Arabidopsis thaliana: one gene and its partners. The protein of the gene in region 1 binds, or shares a complex with, the protein of each later gene. Each region holds a gene or a part of one and is shown on either strand. Other genes may lie near its edges.

Evidence for each region.
Region 2: TBP2 (region 1) and AT5G46520 share a complex: the UniProt entries of both Arabidopsis thaliana proteins name them as parts of the nuclear protein complex.
Region 3: TBP2 (region 1) and EDS1 share a complex: the UniProt entries of both Arabidopsis thaliana proteins name them as parts of the nuclear protein complex.
Region 4: TBP2 (region 1) and PAD4 share a complex: the UniProt entries of both Arabidopsis thaliana proteins name them as parts of the nuclear protein complex.

Annotation. Positions count from the first base shown.
Region 1 is NC_003070.9:20,724,965-20,729,678, forward strand, and holds TBP2 (TATA binding protein 2), read right to left. Parts: upstream 3,128-4,714; 5' UTR 2,864-3,127; intron 2,523-2,863; 5' UTR 2,520-2,522; coding exon 2,443-2,519; intron 2,348-2,442; coding exon 2,260-2,347; intron 2,149-2,259; coding exon 2,077-2,148; intron 1,991-2,076; coding exon 1,940-1,990; intron 1,815-1,939; coding exon 1,770-1,814; intron 1,626-1,769; coding exon 1,533-1,625; intron 1,442-1,532; coding exon 1,340-1,441; coding exon of another isoform or gene 1,310-1,339; exon of another isoform or gene 1,261-1,309; coding exon 1,186-1,260; 3' UTR 1,180-1,185; exon of another isoform or gene 1,092-1,179; 3' UTR 542-1,091; downstream 1-541. Other genes in the region: BCDH BETA1 (branched-chain alpha-keto acid decarboxylase E1 beta subunit), read left to right, coding at 1-79, 171-248, 337-423, 506-541; AT1G55530 (RING/U-box superfamily protein), read right to left, coding at 4,508-4,714. UniProt on the Arabidopsis thaliana protein: General transcription factor (GTF) that functions at the core of the DNA-binding multiprotein factor TFIID.
Region 2 is NC_003076.8:18,865,805-18,872,988, reverse strand, and holds AT5G46520 (Disease resistance protein (TIR-NBS-LRR class) family), read right to left. Parts: upstream 5,374-7,184; 5' UTR 5,264-5,373; coding exon 4,692-5,263; intron 4,603-4,691; coding exon 3,480-4,602; intron 3,366-3,479; coding exon 3,066-3,365; intron 2,967-3,065; coding exon 2,556-2,966; intron 2,310-2,555; coding exon 1,113-2,309; intron 1,031-1,112; coding exon 1,013-1,030; 3' UTR 521-1,012; downstream 1-520. UniProt on the Arabidopsis thaliana protein: Disease resistance protein of the TIR-NB-LRR-type. Part of the RPS6 locus that contains a cluster of several paralogous disease resistance (R) genes.
Region 3 is NC_003074.8:17,754,789-17,760,028, reverse strand, and holds EDS1 (alpha/beta-Hydrolases superfamily protein), read left to right. Parts: upstream 1-1,881; 5' UTR 1,882-2,336; coding exon 2,337-2,654; intron 2,655-2,730; coding exon 2,731-3,462; intron 3,463-3,558; coding exon 3,559-3,639; intron 3,640-3,735; coding exon 3,736-4,476; 3' UTR 4,477-4,700; downstream 4,701-5,240. Other genes in the region: RR5 (response regulator 5), read left to right, coding at 743-917; AT3G48080 (alpha/beta-Hydrolases superfamily protein), read left to right, coding at 4,884-5,201. UniProt on the Arabidopsis thaliana protein: Positive regulator of basal resistance and of effector-triggered immunity specifically mediated by TIR-NB-LRR (TNL) resistance proteins.
Region 4 is NC_003074.8:19,429,109-19,434,958, reverse strand, and holds PAD4 (alpha/beta-Hydrolases superfamily protein), read right to left. Parts: upstream 3,865-5,850; 5' UTR 3,394-3,864; coding exon 3,103-3,393; intron 2,002-3,102; coding exon 667-2,001; 3' UTR 509-666; downstream 1-508. Other genes in the region: OEP7 (outer envelope membrane protein 7), read right to left, coding at 4,990-5,184.

The DNA of each region.
Region 1 (4,714 bases):
ACTGATAGATCTCAAGACACTGCTTCCTTGGGACAAAGAAACCGTTGAGGCTTCAGTTAAAAAGACTGGCAGACTTCTTGTAAGATTTAAGCAATCTTGATTGACAACTTCGGATTTTGATTTGTCTGGTCGATCTTATAGATTGCTTTTGCTTGTGCTTGGGGTTGCAGATAAGCCATGAAGCTCCTGTAACAGGAGGTTTTGGAGCAGAGATCTCTGCAACAATTCTGGAACGTTGCTTTTTGAAGGTTAGTAAAAAGAAAGCTCAAATCATCACCGTTACAAGTGACTACTCTTTATTGGTTCTCCGTTTCTTAACTGTCATTTAAAATGCAGTTAGAAGCTCCAGTAAGCAGAGTTTGTGGTCTGGATACTCCATTTCCTCTTGTGTTTGAACCATTCTACATGCCCACCAAGAACAAGGCAAGTTCCTCTTCTCTTATCATTCCTCTATTCCGACCCAAAACGCAGTTTCTAACATATCATGTGTTCTTGCTTGATGCAGATATTGGATGCAATCAAATCGACTGTGAATTACTAGCCGTACTATCTGTAGTTTACTGTTTACACTAGGACTAATGTAATCGCATGTCTTTGTTATCAATTCGTCTAATGTAACACTACCGATTAACTTTAATGAATTTCAAGATAACGAAAACATGTTATAATAGGACTATCTCACTTAATGTGTACGAAGATTATTATCTACTGAAAGATGAAAGCTTATGATCCAAACATTTGACAAACCAGAGCGGCAAATTGCTTGAAAGAGTATATTAAAGGGCAAACAGACTTGGTGTCTTATTACAGAACAGTTAGCAAAGAACTAAGTAACTCTTTAATGATTGGGTATTGTTCACTGAAACAAACAGAACATGAAACAAGATTACTTGGAAGACATTTTTAGAACAAAAAGAAAAGAGATTTATTGGCATCTCCATTCTCTATTTACAATTTCTGGTTTTGAATCTGAATCATTTCAAGTTCTTGTCCAAGGAATATAACCCCACCAAGCGCCTGCCAACACCCGAGATCTCTAGTTCATGGCAATCCAAACGTGAACATGGTTTTTGCCTTCAATATGGTAGGCTCTGCTTTCGAATCGAAATAGTCATAATCAAACTGTTGATTGATTAAGGGGTATAAAATGTAAATGGAGATAAAGAAAGTTGAACTTACATACTATTATTGCTGGACCTTCCTGAATTCTCTAAGAACTGGGTAGATATTCTCAAATGCGGTATAAGTCTCTTCTCTCATCTGATTCGGGATTTCATAAGATGACAGAAGCATTTTCATGGAAACAATTTTAATCATTTGAGAGAAGTTCAATTATTACCTTGGCTCCAGTTATAACAATCTTTCCTGACACAAAAATAAGCAGTACAATCTTTGGAAGTTTCATCCTATATATCAATCCTGGAAATAGCTCAGGCTCGTACTGGCATCAATGATGAGAGAGGTATGAATCATCAGACCGATTAACACCCATGTTACAAGTATATATGATCACAATGCTTGAGATCACTTACACTTGAGAAAGCACTATGAGAGTATGCAAGACCTTCAAGCCTAATGGGGAATTTGACATCACATGAGCCTACAATGTTCTGTATCTTAAAATCCTGCAAAATGTAATCAGCAATTTTATTACTAGACTTTATACGTAATTTTTCCTTCCGATAAAAATACACACGAATTGTTGATTGAGATAAAAATGAATAACACAGTGTGTGCTGGATCAGGACCAGAGAGAGACATATGAGTACCTTGAACTTTGCAGGAAAGCCAAGCTTTTGAACAATCCGAGCATACTGAACAACAAAAAGGAATTCTTTAATATAACAGAGAACAAATACCTACTAGAGCTGTAACAAGTTTCTAACTACAGTGATGCTAGAAGAAGAACATCAGACAGTATTGAGATGAGCTAGTTTACCTTTCTTGCAGCAAGCTTTGAAAGATGTTCACTTTTAGCTCCGGTACACACCTAATATTGGACAGCATAGATGCCACGTCAAAACAAGGACATGGAAGATTAGGCCATAAGAGAAAAAGTGACAAAGGAAAACATACCATTTTCCCAGAAGCAAAAATTAACGCTGTGGTCTTTGGCTCTCTGATCCTCATGATTACAGCAGCGAAACGCTGGAACATAAAACACAGATTAAAACCAAATCCGAAAATACAAACCAAAGTGGTGGAGACCAAACAAAATGATCGATTACTAAAACACGAATATCACAAAGAAAGCAAAACCTTGGGGTTATATTCAGCATTCCTAGCTTGCAAAGCTATGGCTTTAAGATCAAGCTTGCAGTCTAAGTTCACTGTTGAGACAATATTTCTGAAACAAACCAAAAAAGAAAAAGGTAAGATCTTGTGATTCACAAAAGCACAAACTCAGAATCTTAAAACAGAGACACAAAAGAGAGAACTCACTGAAGAGTAGGAACAATCCCTGAAGGATGTTTAGTAAGGTCAACTGGCTGGCTCCCTTCCGTTCCTTGATCAGCCATTCTCTAACATAAGAATCAACGTAAACACACACACATCAGCTATAAATCTCGTCTTAAATAGGGCAAAACAGAAACTCATGTCGATCCAAACCAACAAGCATCCACGAAACAAAATTGTTTTCAAGCTTTACAATTTCATTGACCAAATCTGGTTATCTAAAAACCAGTTTTGATAATTGAAATCTAGAAACATTGTTTCACAATCAAACAACGAAAAGCTATGAAACACACAACTTCAGAACATGAGATCCAATTCGTAACAAGCAACTACGAAGAAACTCAATTCAGATAAAATCCGTGGAATTGAATCCATTAGGAACAAAGGGTACGAAACAAAATCAGACCTTTCGCTAGTTAGCAATCCGGAATTTCGAAATCTAGGGTTTCGTAAACCCAACAGATTGGAAGAAATTCCCCCGAAAAGGCGAAAGGAAGGTGAATGATTTGAAAAAGGAGAAGGCTTTTTATACAAAGATAAGAAATTTTTAGAGAGGGAAAGAGATTTGTAAATTGGGATTATATATAAAGGAGAGAGTTTTGATTTTCAATATCGCTCTCTGGGTTCTCTCTCTGGGGATGAGATTTGTGATCTGCGCTTTGGATCTGTGGAGCTTAAGGACACGTTATTACCTCTATATACTTTCCTAAACTACCCTTGCCTCTCTTTGTCGGATGAGGGTAATTATGGGAATTCAGCTTATTAGATTTTAATGTTACGGTCTTTACTGGAATTTTAGGGAACCGTCCACTCTTTGTCTGCCACGTGTTCTATTACAGAATGTGTTAGCATACGTTTTTTTGTTGGATCTATATGTAAGACTATAACTCAAGACACGTTCACAAATATGAATCGAGTAGAGACTATGAATCGCCACAACGACGGACTTATTACAAAGCAGTAGATTATCAATTATTGCATGAAGGTGCCAACTAAAACTTGTTAGAGATCATCACTCATCAGTGTCCGGGTCCTTTCTGACGAGTACGTGCCGATTCACTTCGTCTGACACCAGCTTTTAGATTATCAAATTGTTGTGCTCCATTTCCTTCCCCTTAATTTATAATAATAATAAAAAAAGAGATTAAGAACTGAATATGAGTTTTGTTTATGCGTGATTGTATTTGTATGATCAAAGACGGTCACTTACTCGGCAGAGTTCGGCCCATAGTCGTGTTGTACGCGGAGACCAAGAGAATAATCAAAGTGATTAGGGATAAAACCTGACGATTCATTACTTCTTCTTTTGGATTATGACTAATCTGAGAGATAATGTAATAAGTTGATACTACAATACTTATATATATACAAGGAGATTTGGTGAAACGTTAATATATTAGTATATATACTATATCAAAGTTAAGTTCGTTAATGTCAAAAGGTTCGTTAATAGCGCATAAAGTTGGTAACTTTGGTCGCATTTTACACATGTGAACTCTAGCTTTTATAAATTCTAATTAATGTTTACGCGTAAACAAAAGATTACATGGTAATGCAATCATGGATTAACACAAGGAAAAAGCATCACTTCATTAAGTTTAGTAAAAGACATCATATTTTGTTTTGGATGACGACATATTAAACGAGTCGGTCTAAGTAATTAGGCATACAATATTATACAATTCCATTTCATACAACAAAGGTGATGAATGTTAAATTACTTTTTATGTTTAAATTTATAATTTATTACCAACACAATTCGTACTACAGCCACCAATCTTGTTATTTTACCATTAAGGCATTAATTTAACAAACTAAGTTGCAAAAGTGGCTTTGGTTGACAACAAAAAACACACAAGCGACTTACAGAATCCGGCAAAAGATTTGCTCAAAAACAATTAAAAAAACACAAACTGAAAGATATTTGTTTTCCAAAGATGTAGCATTCAACCAAATCTGAGAAACTTATGTACAGACAAAAGATCAGATTTAGGTAGAACCGAGATTTCATGATCACACCAAAAAGCTTATGTTGCTCAGGGAACATGTCTTAACTAGAATCCGTTGGTGCATTGCTATCTTGCGACGAGGAGAACAAGGTGCTAAACGGCCACGGGATCGAGAATCCGCTTCCGTCATTGTTCTCGTTCTCCTCCTCCTCCTCCTCTTCTTCTTCTTCTTCTTCTTCTTGGCGCCGGTTTCCATCGCTGTTCTCAGCTCCATGGCTGGTTGTAGCAGAAGCACTACTGCTTCCATT
Region 2 (7,184 bases), on another chromosome or scaffold:
GGATTCAGAAATTAAATTGTAATAGTAATGACATAAGCTCAAAACAAATGTGCAAGCTAAGAAAGAAACAGAGTACTTGAAAACAAATAAATGAATTCCATCTGCCAATTTTGAGAAATCTTCATTTTGTTAAAACCATTTGCGTGAATTCCATCAGTTTTTTTGTATCCACAACACGACTTGCATTTGAAACAATTGTGACGCTTTGTGTTAAAGATTATTCGGAACTAGACTAAGTTGGTTTATGGACTTTGAAAGATGCCTAAAAACTTTGCAGGTGTGGCTACAAAGCAAGTCAGTCGTTCGTTGTCTCTCCATAAACAAAAGAGAACTATTATACATCAAAAACTTAATTCAGGTCCACTTTAAAACTTTGTGCCTGACAGAAATTAAAGGAATCGTGATAGTAATGAAATAAGCTTATCACAAACGTGCAACCACAGAAAAGAAACAAAACATTTTAAAACATTCACATGAACATCAACATCTTCATCTGCCATTTGAGAAAATTATGTTCATTCAGCTTATTGTAATTAAAAACCAATGGCTTGAATTCCATCATGACTTGTTTTTGAAATAATACTAACAATCTAATTATCCCACAATTTATATAATATCAAAGTCTTTAACCAAACAGTGAACAACATTGATGGCTGTGAAATTGATCAACTGAATAAAAAGTCTATAACCAGATAATCAGAAATTCAAAAGTAACTTCGCACTCTTCAAAGTGTTCAGTCACATTGCCTATACCATCATCGTCACTATCCCCACGCTCTTCACTCTGATTACTCTCATTGCTTATATTACTGTCTTCGCACTCTTGAAAATGATCAGTCTCCCTGCCTATATCACTATTCTTATCCTCGCTCTTCGCTCTGATCAGTCTAATGGCATCCATCATTGTCTTCATCGGCCTCACAAACATGCTGCATAGTGTTTGGATTACCATGTCGGTTCTTCGATGATGACAGTCCTCTAAGTGTCGTATACCCCATCCGTTTAATATTACTCATATGAAGTGGTGTAGCTGCAAAAGAATCCAGTCGTCAATCATACAAAAAGAATGAGAGATGAATAGTCATTATGTTTAATTAATGCTTAATGCTTACCCGCATGCGCTTCTTGCTTCTCTCAGTCTCTACATTGTTATCTCCAGAGTCTTCACTATTTTCAATCTCATTAACAAGTCCTTGAACATGTGTATAATACCCCATATTGCCTTCTTCGGCTTGAGAAACATGTGGAAGAGTACTGTTTGGATTACCAAGTCGGTTCTCTGCTGATGAACCGGTCTCTAAGAGTCGTATACCCCATTCTTTTAAAACGACCGTAGATCTCCAATCTCCACTAGTTATATGAATATTTATATCCACATGATCATAGTTCAGTTGAGATAGAGGAACATTATCTTTGTATAGACGGATACGACAGTCAAATATACACAGATGAATACCCTTCTCAATTTCCATGAAATTATGTACCTCACCAAAGGAATCAAATTTGTTCCCAATTCTGCCTTTGAACCGACTATATACCCCGATATATACTCCATTGGAAGCACTTACCACTGCACAAACCCTAAATCTGAAGAATGGTTGAGAGAGTTGTGTGGGAAGTAGAGGGATGGGCAGAGAGGAAGACGTTCCAAATGGTTGAGAGTCAGATGTTCGGTAAGTGAAATATGATGGCACTTCTTCACCTGGCAATATCATGGAGTTGAAAATAATCGACTGTTGGTGAAGGACAGGTTCTCGATCCAGATTGACGCAATCCATGAAATTGACATTGAGGACGCAACTATCAGGAAGAGAAGAGGTGGTCTCCTCAGAAACTATGTCAGCATTGTCTGCCTTCATCATCTCCACCCCACTTGGATAGCAACTCAAATCAACTCTGGTCAATGCCCCGCAATTGGAAAAGCTAACTTCCCCAAGATGTTTGAGTTTAAAAATGTTTAGGGATACACATTTTAGCTCGCGGCAACCTTTCATAGTTAGCTTAGTGAGGTTAAAGAAGTTCTCGATCTGCCAAGGAACCTCTTCAATCCCAGTTTGGTCTAGATCGAGATATTTGATGTTGGTTGAGATATCAGGAAAGCGCTTCAACCGTGAGCATCCAAAGAGATTAAGGGAAACGAGAGATTCGAGGTTGATTCCGGTGGGTAGAGACTCCAGATTTCTGCAGTAACAAATGTCCAACCTCTCAAGGTTATTGAGATTCTGAAATGAGGACGAAAGCTCTACTAAATTTGGGATATTCCAGAGCTCCAAGAGGGTCAAAGTGGGAGACAGCATCGGCATGAAGGGCTGAACCAAATAAACAATTTAGAGATGTTAAACAAAAATCACCAATAATACAATTTACAGTTTGGGACTTTTCAATTAATTAATCTAAGCTAAAACAAATTCCATTACGAAACAAATTTGCATTTGTCATTTTGCATTCTTTGTTTGTTGATTGACTTGGTAATACTCAATGCAAGATTTACCTTTACACTTTGAAAAGAAAAACATATAATGGATTCTCATGATATTGGAGAGAACTACATATACCTTCACTCCTTGGCATTTATTCTCATCACTATCCGCTTTCCCCATGCTTAGCTCACGGACATTCTTGAAATACAAATTGGAAGGGTATTCTTCAATAGATGTTTCTGCCAGAATGAGATTTGAGATGTTGGTTGCGAATTCAGGAAAAGTCCTCAACTTCCAGCATTCATTGAAATTGAGGTAGTCCAGGGATTTGAGGTTGAAACCCGTAGGAAGAGTCTCCAATTCACCGCAGTATTCCATATTCAATTCCAACAGTTTATTGAGATTTCGTATAGAGGAAGGAAGCTCCACCAAACTCCAGCAATGTCCAAAGTCAAGTTTCTCAATGTTAGTGGCCTTTGAAAGATCTGGGATTTCTTTCAGGTATTTAGATGCCCACATATCCAATTCCTTTAGACATGTAAATGACTGTACTCAGACAAAAATAAACGCAGAGCTCAGTTGAAATTACACATCACGTCATTTAAAAACTACAATTAGCATTAACAATTTATTCTTAAACCTTACCATAGCTCCTTCCCACAGCTTCTCTAGCTTGCTGTCATGCATTTCGAGCTTGACGAGGTTTCGAAGAAAAGTATAAGGCATACATTTCAGTGGAAATCTATCCCAAATCAATTGTTTGGGTTGAACGGAATAATAGTTTATTTTTTCCGGTAAATGCACTTTGACTTCTTCTTCTATAAAAGTCTTCGAGGAAATATCCAAGAAAAGGAGATTACCCATCCCTTTGAAGGCATTCTCATGTACACAAAACTCACTAACCTTACTTGTATCCAATGATATTCCTAGCACCTTTCGAGTACCCTGAAAAATATGATATTAGTGAGATAGAGACAAAACCATACAATTCATGATTCATCAAATGGCACTTTCTTAACCTCGTATACTGAAAGTAGCACAACTAAAAAAAAGACTTACAATGCCTTCACTGAGTACAGTACGACTATCGTTTGAATCCACCAGAAATTCTCGTTCTCCTGGGTTGTCAGTGGACTGTGAGCGTACAATATTTCTACCCGTTTCTTGTAGCAAACGGTGCATCTCCACATGATCATTTCTGACATGAATAAGGGACTTATCAACTAGGTTTTCCAGTGCAATATTTACATCTAAGCCACTATCTGCGAGCAACAATTCAATGTCTCTGACTTTGACGTGATTGAAAAGACATGCGATAAGACGGAATAACGCTTGATCTTTTACGTTGCCTATCGCATCATAGCTGACTTTCAATGTCTCCTCAATATTGCCATCTAGATCATTTTGAAGCCTTGGCAACATCTTCACCCAGTACTCCTTTTTTCTCCCTCGTAGAGCTGAACCAAAAACAGTAAGACCCAAAGGAAGACTACCAGCAAGCCATGCAATTTCAACTACGAGCTCCTCAAAACCTTCAGGTGGAGAGTTTTCCCCGAAAGCAGACTGACAAAACATCTCTTGAGCGCGCTCTTTAGAAGGGAGACTAACTTCGTAAATATGATCAATTCCATGGGCCCTTAAGAATTGCTTATTATTGGTAATCACTATGATCCTGCTCCCACATCCAAACCAATTAGTTTTACCCACCAATGAATCTAGTACCACTAGATCATCCAAATCATCAATGATGATGAGAGTTTTCTGGTGCTTTAGCCTCTCTCCCAGTGCACCTAAATGATCAATCTTTATGTCTTTTTTCCCCAAAATTTCCGATAGGAAACATCCTTGCAAGTGCAACTTCATGTTCGGGTCGTCCGGATTGGCGCCCTTGTAAGTTTCTCTACTCTTATATACAAAAGCTCTGTCTATGAATTTGCTAACTGGGAAATGCCGAGAAAGTTGGTTAAACAGAGCTCTTGCAATGGTAGTCTTACCAATCCCCGAGGAACCCCATATACCAACCATTCTCACTTCCTCAGCTTCCAATTTCAACAATACACTCATATTTGCAATATGATCTTCAATGCCAATAGAGTTCTCAGCAGAATCCGTGGATGAAGTTAAAAGCAGTTTAGCCAAAACATCATTGGCTATTTCTTCAATCATTTTTGCTTCGTCATCCCTAATAAGGTGAAAGATAATTTAAGAAATATGAAACAACAATTTTATTTCAAGATGTATCTAATAATGAATTTGGTATAAAAATCATACCATTTGGCAGAATCAAATCCAAGCATATTAGCTACATCAGTCAACGCTTTCTTCCATTGATTTTTCACTTCCTCTGTTTGTCTCTTGCAAGTCTTTTCAAAGATACTTCCAAATTCACCGATTTGATACCTCACTTGGGAAGGATCCACACCGTAGAAAACCGGTATGATAATTTTATCATTGCAGTTCACAATCTCCAGCAACTCGTTAAGACACCAGCTCGACGAAGCGTAGTTTTTGGAGAAAACGACCACTGCGATTCTGGAGTCCTTGATCGCTTGTTCAAGATCGGGCCAAAGAGAGTGGCTTCTCTCGATCTCATTGTCTCTGAAAGCAGAGATCAGTTTCCGATCAAGCTCTTTGAGAAAGTGGCTACGGAATGTTACGCGGACGTCTTTCCCACTGAAGCTCAAGAAAACATCATAAACCCAATTGCGAGAAGAAGATGAAGAAGCCATAGAGAGAGTTAGAAGGAGGAAACTAGAAACGAAGACTTTGGAGATTGAGATTTTAAGAAGAGAAATAGAGGACAAGTAGTGAGTCTGTCTTGGTGGATATAAAACATTTAACATAACAGCTGAGAGGTAACTTGGCCATACAAGTTTTCACAATTATTTCTTAGACTTTTACTTGGCGGAAGTTTCCTCTTTGTTGACTCAATCGTCATAACCATATTTCATAGCCTCTTGTCTTTACTACTGTATATCATTCATTTACAAATTCTTAATAAAGATGTACAATACGAAGTTGCAAAACTTTTTACAAATTCTTAATAAGGATACAAGTTTTCGAAATTACCAAGCAATTCCACAGTAACAGTGAAAAGTGAAGCAACGTAATCATTATCCTACTGGCCACTGTTAAATCAGGAAACTGTGAACGAAGGAACGAGCAACAAAACATCAAAGAGTTTGATAAATATCTAAGGAGACTTTTTGGTCTTTTTAGGAGACTTGGTAGTTGGTAACATCTTAAAGCCTATGATATTTGAAAGAATTTGGGAGAATATCTATCACGAATTTTTAAAAAATGTAAATTACTTAAAGTCAGACACATCATCGTGCTTGACATAAAGAATAAGACGACATTGTCAACATTTTAGGTAGGGGAGGCAAGGCATTGAGTGGTGCGAAATTGTGCATAATATTTGTTTAATTTTCTTCCGAGTCTTTTGAAGTTTTGTGGTCAAGTCCACAAAAAACAATAAAAATACTGTGGAGGAAAACCAAATTTCTTTTAAAAAAAATCTAGTGTTAGCTTAGGACTTAGTTAAACACATGAGTTGGAAACAAAATAAAAGACTTATTAGTTCAAAATATTTAATTGTAAGATTCTCAATTCTCATATATAGACATGGTCTCAAAAGAAACAGAAAAAAGGGACAAATTGGACAATAATGGGTGTCACCATGTATATCTAAATATAGAAAGAAAAGAAAAATTAACCAATCAAATAAGAAGAACCTCTTCCAATTGATCTCCATTCTCCTCTTTTTTCGTCAGCCTGCAAAACTTTTGCAATGCGTCGTCTTTCCACCACCTAACGTGAGCCGATTAAGACTTGGCGATTTCTTCAATCATGCTTGCTTCATTATATATCCCTAATAAGAAAAAAGACCAATTCACAAACATTAGCAATTGCACCACTGTTGTCATACACCTTAACGAAAGTTTCCTCTTTTCTGCTGGATCTTGACTTAATCATCTCTTTTAGATTTGGACTTAATCGCCACCACTCAAGTAAAAACCATGTCCATAGCCTCTTATTCTTACATTAATATCTTGTCAGATCCGTAACCAACATTGGTCATCAAAGTGACTTCCTCCAGCTTTCCTGAACAATAACAATTGCAAGACAAAAGAATCATCAGAGAATGAAAGTTAAGCATATCATTAGAGAATCAAAACAAGCTTTCAAACGAATGACATAGGTGAGAAATGTCAACAGGGTTAAAGTAACAGTAAGCTTATCAAATCAAAAGCTAACTGTGTCGCAAGACCTGTAGGAGATTCACTTTCTGCCCATGTAAAAACGAAGTAACCAGAAACAGAATTTTGATTACCAGATACCACAGGGCATTGTCTAGATGCAAATTTTCATGTTCCTAACGAAGTTTGAAACAATCTAGAAAGCCTCAGACCTTTTTCAACTAGTGGAGAGTGAAATCCGAAAACGAATAAAAGAAAACTCAATTCAGGTACACTGTAAAACTTTGTTCCAGACAGCAAATTCTTGTGAACACAAATAACACAAATAGTTCTTCAGAAATTAAATCGTTATAGTAATGAAATAAGCTTATCACAAACGTGCAACCTAAGAAAAAAAACAAAAAATTATAAAACATTGACATGAACAGTACCATCTTCATCTGCCATTTGAGACAATTCCATTCCTTCAGCTTTATAATCTAATTAAAAACCAGTGGCTTGAATTCCATCAATTTTTGTAACTACATCACGACTTTTTTTTGAAATATATGCCTCATAATACTAG
Region 3 (5,240 bases), on another chromosome or scaffold:
TACTATAATAATCTTAACTATGATCCTTAATTCTTGTTTAGGTCAAGATTATGTAGGACCAAAATTTACCAAATATAGTAGATTTTGTGCATTTATTACTTCAGGAGATGGGGATGATTAGATTTAGAGGGTATTGTTTGTTTAGGAAACTTTTTAAAGTAATCACACTAATTTAGGATTTGTGATAAAGTTACCGTTAAAGGATATGTATTGACTAAATTAAATTGTTGTATAATCACAAGATTTTGTTATGATAGAAAAGGTTATTATATGATTACTTTTTAACTATCATGGGGTTAACTTTGGTGGTGGTTGTATATTTGATCAAGCTGAGATTTGGTGTTTATTTTAGTGGGTCCTAAAATGATTTTTAAAATGGATCTTAGGAATAATAAAATTTATCTTGTGGCCATAAATTTAGAAAAGAATAATCCATCATAAGTTAAGCAAGATCTTCTCTTGAGATTTGATTCTATATAAGCCGGTGACATGTTAGGCCCTCCAAAACTTTATAATATATGTTTTAATTGTTTGGGTTGCATAATCTTAGGTAGGGTCATTTATAAAATCCCAATCCTCGTGATAGACACCTCACATGCCTTTGCTTATTACTAAGGAACCAAACCCTCTTTACCAGATTAAGTTTAATGATTATCATATATGAGCTGGCCATTTTCTGTATCCAAAGTTATAAACTTTATGGAATTAGATCACTAACATTTGGTTCCTTATATTTATTCAGATGTCTTGAAGAAGGAGCTGAAGATTTCTTATTGAAGCCTGTGAAATTAGCTGATGTGAAGAGATTAAGAGATTCTTTAATGAAAGCTGAGGAAAGAGCTTTTAAGAATATTATGCACAAGAGAGAGCTTGAAGCTAATGATATCTACTCGCAGCTAAAACGCGCAAAGATCTGAGTTTATCAGATTCCACGTACGATATGTTCTTTAAAAGCTCAAAGATTCACACACATGCATGTCCTGATTCTTTCGGCTTACAATTTTTGAGACATTACGGCTTCTTTTGCTGATAGAACCAAGACTGATCAAGAGTGACAAAGATGGGTTTTTATAAGATAGAAATGTAAATTGTAGACTTGGATTCATTAGAGAGGAGAAGAGATACATTTTTTTTTTCTTTACATGAGAGATATGTAAAATGGTGGTGTGTTATTTTGGAAGTTAACATATGAATTTCTTTTGTTAAGATTACTTAAATAATGATTTAGGAATGGATTAGTAGTTTAGTACCGTTCATTACACGAAGACAAGCTAATCTTTTGTCTAATTAAAATAAAGCTGTCTACATGAATCGAATCCAGCGAGATAAGTTAGTTATTTTAAGCGTTGGTTGGAACACTTTACATGGCTTTTCGTAGAAATTTCCCCAAGTTGGGTTTTATTAAGACCAAGAAAATTCTAGTCTCCTAGACTTTTTTTTGTTTCTTTTGTTAATTTAGTCTCCTAGGCTTTTTCATTCTATCTGAAAGCAAAATATGGTTATGCAATTTGGTTTAGCCAAAAAAACAAACTAAATTTTTCTAGTCCGGTTCATGTAACTTCATAATCAAACAAGTAAAAGTCGAATGTGACGCGTCTTGCCGAACGCAAAAACGGACCAGGCAAGAAGGTGTAGTTAGTTAATTCGGTTAATATTCAGCTGAGAGAAATCGAACCGGTTCCATATCTTGTAGATTATCCGGTTTACTTTCCGGATAAGATTTATAAGCAAAACAGAGTTAAAGTAGTAGATTTCTTCTATACGAGACCAAATCTGAAAACCCAAGTCAAGCTACAAAAACTTAACTCCAAGCGAACAAATCTCCTCATTCATTAAACAACAAAATTGTTTTCCGACAAAAAAGTGAATATCATTGAGTTACTGCGAAATCCCAACCGAGAGTGACATCTCAAACCAAAAGATGGAGTCTATATTAAAGAGACGAAGACTCCAAAGTCAAGCTACAAAATTTCCAAGCAAAGATTACACAGAGAAAACTTTCCGACCAAATGTGAATGTTTATGAAAGTTTCTGCGAAACTCCAGTCATGTCGGATGTACAAAGCCATACACCAATGTAAAACCGACACGTGGAAAGCTAAGATTCCTAGCTTTTCTTTCTTCATGAGTCTCCAATAGCCAAAGAGTCAACTCCAAAAAAAAAAACCCATTTTTGCATTGAAATGGTCTCATGATGGGGTATTTTGGGTAACTAATTAGTCCTGTCTACATCTTCCCATAAATTAACAGAGTAGGAGCGGATTAAAGAAGCAAGACGATTCAAAAGAAAAAAGAGAGAAGAAAGTCCACTAAAGAAAAGAGAATAGATATAGATCAATGGCGTTTGAAGCTCTTACCGGAATCAATGGTGATCTAATCACCAGATCATGGTCAGCCTCGAAGCAAGCTTACCTAACCGAGCGCTATCACAAGGAAGAAGCAGGAGCAGTCGTAATCTTCGCTTTCCAACCATCTTTCTCAGAGAAAGATTTCTTCGATCCGGACAATAAATCTTCCTTTGGAGAAATCAAGTTGAACCGTGTTCAGTTTCCTTGTATGAGGAAAATCGGTAAAGGTGATGTAGCTACTGTTAACGAAGCTTTCCTCAAGAATCTTGAAGCTATCATTGATCCAAGAACCTCATTTCAAGCTTCTGTAAGAAGATTGAAAACATCCGAATATATTTTTCTTTTTTTTTCTTTTTTGGTCTCTTATGCTTTTACTTCTTCAGGTGGAAATGGCTGTGAGGAGTAGAAAACAGATAGTGTTCACAGGACATTCCTCAGGAGGTGCAACTGCAATCTTAGCAACAGTTTGGTATTTGGAGAAATACTTCATACGCAATCCAAATGTTTACCTTGAGCCTCGTTGTGTGACATTTGGAGCTCCTTTGGTTGGTGACTCTATCTTCAGTCACGCACTTGGGAGAGAAAAATGGAGCCGGTTCTTTGTGAACTTTGTCTCAAGATTCGATATTGTCCCTCGGATTATGCTTGCTCGAAAGGCGTCTGTAGAGGAAACTTTGCCTCATGTTCTTGCCCAATTGGATCCCAGAAAGTCTTCCGTCCAAGAGAGTGAACAGAGAATAACAGAGTTTTACACAAGGGTGATGCGAGACACATCAACTGTTGCAAACCAAGCTGTTTGTGAATTGACTGGAAGCGCAGAGGCGTTTTTAGAGACCCTTTCTAGTTTCCTTGAGCTAAGTCCTTATAGACCCGCCGGTACTTTTGTTTTCTCTACAGAGAAGAGATTGGTTGCAGTGAACAACTCGGACGCCATTCTTCAAATGCTGTTTTACACTTCTCAAGCCAGCGATGAACAAGAATGGTCTCTAATTCCATTTCGAAGTATCAGAGATCATCATAGCTATGAGGAACTGGTACAGTCGATGGGAAAGAAGTTGTTTAATCATTTGGATGGAGAAAACTCAATAGAGTCTACGCTCAATGACCTTGGAGTGGTAAGTCTCTCTCTCTCTCTCTTTTCATACTGTGCAGCTCCATAGCTCCATTCTTGCAATCATTTAAACCCTTCAGAGTGTTTCCTTTTTCTGCAGAGCACAAGAGGCAGACAGTACGTTCAAGCTGCATTAGAGGAAGAGAAGAAACGAGTAGAGAATCAGAAGAAGATTATTCAGGTTTGTGGTTGATAAGCTTGTTCATGAATAATGCAGGTACGTGCTTCGTCTGTTTGTGTCTAACAACATAAAACTTGTTGGTTCTGTGGTTTTTAGGTGATCGAGCAAGAGAGGTTTTTAAAGAAACTAGCATGGATAGAAGATGAATACAAGCCAAAGTGTCAAGCCCATAAAAATGGGTATTATGATTCCTTCAAAGTTTCAAATGAAGAGAATGACTTCAAAGCAAACGTCAAGAGAGCTGAGTTAGCCGGTGTTTTTGACGAGGTGCTTGGTTTAATGAAGAAATGTCAACTTCCAGATGAGTTCGAAGGGGACATAGATTGGATCAAGTTAGCAACTCGATACCGCAGATTAGTTGAGCCTCTTGATATTGCAAACTACCATCGACATTTAAAGAACGAAGACACAGGGCCGTACATGAAAAGAGGAAGACCAACCCGCTACATATATGCTCAGAGAGGCTACGAACATTATATACTGAAGCCAAACGGAATGATTGCAGAAGATGTATTTTGGAACAAGGTAAATGGTCTTAACTTAGGGTTACAGCTAGAAGAAATTCAAGAGACTCTAAAGAATTCGGGATCCGAGTGCGGATCATGCTTTTGGGCTGAGGTTGAAGAACTCAAAGGAAAGCCATACGAGGAAGTTGAGGTAAGAGTTAAGACATTAGAAGGGATGCTTGGAGAATGGATCACAGACGGGGAGGTAGATGATAAGGAAATATTTCTGGAGGGTTCAACGTTTAGAAAGTGGTGGATTACGCTTCCCAAAAATCACAAATCGCATTCTCCTCTGCGAGACTATATGATGGATGAAATAACAGATACCTGAACCTTAGGTGGTGGAGTATTTAAGCTATTAGAACACTTGCTTCTCTTAATTTGTGCAATAAGAAATGTTTATCAATCTGGTTTCCACTTCATGATGATCTTAGAATAAGAAACATGTTGTATGATCATTGTGAAGTAATGTAATAGCTCTCTATTCTAATGTCAAATTTGGTTTCCACTTTACAGTGATCTTAGAATATATACGTTACTCTACTAAAGCCTAAAGCCATCTCAAATAGCATGAACCAGTAACAAACAACCTTCCTTAGATTGAAATGGTCTCATGATGGGGTATTTTGGGTAATTACTCCTGTCTACATCTTCCTACTATATTAACAGAGTAGGAGGACTAAGAATCAAGACGACTCAAAAGAAAAAAGAGAAGAAAGTCCACTCAAGAAAAGAGAAATGGCGTTTGAAGCTCTTACGGGAGTCAACGGTGATCTAGTCACCATATCATGGATGGCGTCGAAGGGAGCTAACCAAACGGAGCACTATCTCAAAGAAGAAGTAGGAGGAACCGTTTTTTTCGCCTTCCGAGCATCTTTCTCGTCGGAAGATTTGTTCGCTACGGAGAATACATCTCCCTTTGGAGAAATAAAGATGAAGCGTAATCAATTTCCTTGTATGAGAAGCATCGGCAACGACGTTGACACTACTGTTAACGAAGCTTTCCTCAAGTCACTTGAAGTTCTCATTGGTCCAAGAACCTCATTTCATGCTTCTGTAAGTAAACAAAAGCTTCTTAAATGCGTTTTAAATCGA
Region 4 (5,850 bases), on another chromosome or scaffold:
TTCACATTATATTCGCGAGAGGACGATGAATATTTGGCCAGAGTCGTTAAGAATCAGAACTTGTAGATAACGAATCATAGATAGTCATAATTATATAATAGTATATAGTATGAAAATGGTATGTAAGGTATGCGTAACGATCTGTGAATAGAAACTATAGAACGAGAAGGTGAAACAAGAAGACACAAGTTTTGAAGAACAAGGACTGTCTCTATTTGTCTACTTATTTGACTTGAATTTATTTGATTTATTAACCCACAGAAAAATGGGGATTGGAAAGGAAAATCTGAATGGGATAAAGAGCTTCTTGGATCATGTAAATATTGGCAATCTCCAAGAATTCTATGTAGTAGGTCTTACGTTTTTCTATATATTTGTATTCTAAAATTCCTGAAATTAGATCACCATCACACTACATGTTGGTTTTAGAGTAATAGCTTTACTTCTCACCAAAAAAAAAAAAAAGAGAGCAATAGCTCTACATGAGAAACTCTTTGCACATTGCACAAAAAAAGAAACTCTTGCAAAACTTGTTGAACATTGACGATAAATTTTGTTTTAGAATATATAGTAACATTCATCAGAAAGTCTTGCATAAACATGATGAACAACAATGATACAGATTGTTATATAGCATATCAAACATTCGATTTGCTATTAGTCCTACTAAGTCTCCATTGCGTCACTCTCATCAACAACCATCTCAATTTCATTTTCATAACCCATTTTGCACTTGAACTCTTTCAGATTCGCCTCCCACACACTATAACTCGAGTTCTTCGCTTTAACATCCAAAGAAACCTCCTTCTTCGTCACCAATGTATTCGCATAACTCTCGAATGGAACAATCTTTTCCCGTAACAAAGATCTCCTCTGGGGATCACTACTCTCTTTTCTCGCCTCATCCAACCACTCTTTTGCTTGCTCAAGCTTAGCCCAAAAGCAAGTATCTTGCGTTGTGCTCGCGTATCTGCTTCTCACACACTCCTCAGGCACTTTAACTCCTTTCTGCCATTTATCAATCACCTCATACCTTTTAGGTCTATTCCCCTCCAAGTAATGCCCGCCAGTCTTTATATCTCTGTTTTTGTAGAAATTCGCAATGTCGAGTGGCTCGGCTAAGAGTTGATAAAATTGAGATGCGTAAATCCATTTCTTTCCTAAATGAAAATCAAAAGGTAACTCATTCGTCTCCACCATTTTAATCACTGTGTCCCAAAACTTAGCTAGTCTTATGCGACTCATGTTCACTTTAAAGTCTCTCTTCAACGAATATCGTTTGAAGAAATCGTAGTAACCTAGCTGCTCTTCTGATGCATCGCAACGATCTTTGTACCATTGAATCTCGAGTCTTGCTGGCAAGACACTAGCAAGCTCATTGGCTAACTCAGCTGACCTCAGAATAGGAGCCCGAACAATTCTTGTAGCTGTTTCTATACATTCTTTGACTAAAACGCCACTTGTGTCATCGTTAGAGAAACCTAGAGCTTCAACGGCTAACGCAACACCAGCTTGGTAGCTATTGTCGGGGATACTCCCACCAAGAAAGCTTCTAGATTTAAGAAACATGTGTGAAAGTGTGAACACATAGTGTCCGTACCTCTGATGTTCCTCGGTGTTTTGAGTTGCTGTGGTGTTGAGGATATTAAACATCAGACGAACAGAACCAGCGTTGTCTAGACAGACACCTCCTTTGTCGGAACAGAACAAGTAAGTTCCAAAGGGCCAGAATTGTTCATTGCTGCTTCTAGGAACGAGGTCGTGGATGGAGACCACGTGGCAGAAGTTGTGTGCTAAACGTGATCGTGAAATTGAGGTGGAGAGAGATTGGTTTCCGAGCAGAGGAGAGCCAAAGGTGATACAAAAGACGCGGAATGACGGCGGAGAAGATTGAGATAGAAGCCAAAGTGCGGTGAAAGCGGCCAATGCGCCGCCGGTTGAATGGCCGGTTATCACCACCAGCTTTTTACCTAACAATTCCAATTCCAATCCTTCCTTGATCTGCACGTTAATGCAGTCGACGTTACTGTAAATTGGTTGACTAACAAGAACAAAACTGATTATAGATTACCTTCCTTCTGAGTGTACAATTTCCTCTAATAATGTAAACTGATTTAGAGACTAAATTTGCCAATTACTTGGTTTAACCAAATTTGAATAAAAATCAGTTAAGACACCTCTCTAGACTTACCATTTTTACAACTTATATCTACATTAATGGTCACTTCTTGTTTTTTCTACTCATCAAAACCAATAGGAACTTGTTTTTGTTCAAGATTTTCATATCCTTAGAGACAAAACAAAAACTAAAAGTATTCGACGAAAAAGGGAATAAAATACATGATGGTGACACAATAATCATGGGTTAAAAACTTTTTGAGCGCACATTTATAAACTTCGCCGAGGTGTGTTAAAGCATAAAGCGTAAAGCTACCAATTCCATTAACATTTTTTGTTTTTTTTGGTGTCAAAAATACCAATGACGTTTCACTCACTAATTAGTAAATTTTTTAAATCACTTGGGCGGACGGACGTGATGGCATACAAACCAAACTTTCAATTGACTTGCTTATGATATCCAAAGGTCGCGACAATGACATATTCCAAATGGTGGATTTGGAATAATTGTGTCCACGAATCTTTTTAGAATTTCTTACAAGAAAATAATTTTTATTTATTATCTATTGTCTATTGCCTATTGGGGTAGGTGGTGGTGATAGTTTATAATAATCTTTTAAAAGGACAAAAAAAACCTCCATTTGGATTATAATTCATCAAAATTCAGAGGACAGAGATATTTAAATAAAAAATAGTAATGATCATCAGTTCTACTAAAAAGTACTAAAATACGTAAAAAAAATAGTAACTTTAATAGGTAAAATTCGTTTTCGCAAATCCAAACGAATAAAACTTATGATAGAATTTTGTTTTTTTTTAAAATCCTTTGTGAAATAATTTCCCATATTAGCATTTAATGATTTTTGTATTTTTCTCTCGAGGTATTATTAATTGAAATTCAAATATCCACATGCCTTGAAGATAATAAATAGGTTAAATTGCATCCAATAGAAAGAAAAAAAAACAGAGGAAGAGAAAACAAACCTTTAACTGAAGAAAGAGTTTGAGTATGGCAGCGTCGACCATAGGTAGAGGTTCATCGGAGGATAAGCCGGGGAAAAGAACATCTCCGGTGACTGGCAAGCCCACAAGATTCCCCAACTGAATCATCGATACCGCCGGTATAGCAACGTATGTAATCCCGGCGATGTCATGGATCTTTATACTCCCGTTGCAATTTGCGGTGTTGCATGAACTCCAAGAATCGGTAAATAAAGGAGTCGATATCATTACCGAAGCTTGCAACTCACTCGTCTCGAATCGACAATCGTCCATGATTGGATATCGAGTAGAGAGTTGCAGAACGATGATGTTTATGAAGTTGTAAATATATTACAAGCAAAAAGAAATTATCTATGTATCTTCTTGGCTTGTTCCTATGTAATTTCTTGGTTTTGGTCTTTGCTAAGTCGTCTTCTTCAAAGTCTCTTACTTTAACATCATAATTTAGTAAAATTGTACTGGTTTTATAAAATAATAATAAAGAAATGCTGTGAAAGGTAGGTCCATTCTCATTTTTTAATCATTGTGTGTAGAGGACAAAAAAATATGTAAATATATAGTAGAAGAAAATGCGAATCAAAGCATGTGATCCTATGTAATCGGAATGGTTTAGACTTGAGCATAAATTGACAACTTTTGATATGCAGAAACTTTGGTAAGAGTTTATCTATCTATCTTTCATGGAAATTGCAGAGAAATCAACCTACATTTGACTCAGACATTTTGAAGTTTTTTTGGCTAAGCTTTTAAAAGGAACCAATTACTTTCAGTTTCAGCTTAACATGATATAGTTATACAATTTGGCCCATATAAGTCCTACAAGTTAGACCCACCATGACTTGAGGAGATTTTTAAGTTGTGGTCTACCTCTACTAGAGAGATATAGATACTTGTTAATGAATTTGATAATTTACTGTTTGGAAAGGTTTATATCTAATTTAACAAAAAAACAAAGCATTGAAAGGTCCATGCCATTGTCATCTTTTAATCTCTGTTTGGGATCTTTGTGGAAAAACCTAGAGTACAAAATGGGGCAAATTATCAAAACAAAACAAAAAAGGTTTGAAGAAGAAATATCTGATGATTAGGACTTAAGCATGTATTAGAAAACTCTTGCCTTAACAAACTGATAATGATAAAAGAGATAATCTGAATCCTAAATGTCAATGAAACTATCCAACCGGACAATAATCATTGCAAAGCTACCATCTATAGTAATTTTCATGTAATTTTCTGGTTTTGATATTTTCCTGAATTGGAGTAAATATTCAAATTAAACAATGAACTTCTATAACCAAGTCTCTCCATTAGAGACTAGTAGTACATTTTCTTGGTGTTTTCTCATATGATGAAGTCAGTCGTCGTCCAAAGTTTTCTCAACTAAATGATGTTAAACAATCAATCTGACACATCTTTGTATCACCACATGTTATCGTCTCCCTATACTTATTTAGCTAATCTGCTTTATCTATAAAGCAATCTTGTAATTGTCAAGTTTGATATTTTGCTCTAACATGCTTCTTTTCAAGAGATACGTATAATCGAATCATAACTTAAAACAATTTAAGTACTTATCGGATTCCTAATCTCTTCTTCCACCTTAATAATACAGCTCGAAACTTTATACAAAATACGAAAAACGGTGTAACAAATCATGTATGAATATTGATTAGATTAATGATTCTGTTATGCGATTGAACTACAATAACAGATTCAATATAGCAGACTTTTCCAAAAATTGATGACAAATAAACGATCATGACTCAAAAGAAATTGCTCAAACTGTTATGATTAAGAACACATGGATTCATCAGTTACATGAAATGGATTGAAATCAGTAAATCTCTTTAATCTGATAAAACCCTAATTTTACAAACCCTCTTTGGATGTGGTTGCAGTAGCGGCGGTGTCGAAGTCATCGGGGTCTTTGGTTGGGTCAGATTTGTCGATTGAGGAGCGGAATTTATCGAGGAAAGGCTTGAAAGCGATCTCTATGGCTAACCATCCTAACGCCATCGCTGCGACCACCACAGTCGCCTGTTTCGCTCCCGAAGTTTTTCCCATCGCTGCGTCGTCGTCTTGTTCGCGTGTCGGTGGTATCAACCGATGGTTTAAGATCGGGAGATGGGTTTTACTAGGATGTTTAAAATGGGCCGGTTTGGGCTTCTCATTGGATAAAGATAGTTTGTTTGTTAAACTATGGCCCAACTTTTTATCCGTCTATTGGTTAATTAATACAAACTTTTTATATAATTGTAAATATAATTGAAAGGATCCCTATTTTATTTTCTTGGGAATATATATATGGAAAAAAACAATCAATAGAATTAGATAAATAGTTCAATATATCAACAATTTCTTTTTTGTTAGGATAAGGAACTTTTACCTTTTTTCTAATATAGTTACAAATTGTGTTTTTTTTTTTCTTAATTTATTATCAAATTTCTTTTTTACTTATATATAACCTCCTTTTTCATATAGAGTTATTAACTTTTTCATTTTCTCAGTAAATGTATTAACAAATTTAGACTTAATACATGAAGACATCTAATATTTTTATTGATATGTGTCGTGAACTCGTGACATGTTAGTTAGTAATTTTTATAAAAAAAATTTAGATAGGTTAAAATTATTTGATATGTGTAGGGGTGTCAATGGGTCAAAATTTATTGGTCAACTCAACTCAACCCATAAACCCTAATGAGTTGAAAATTTTGACTCAAATGAGTT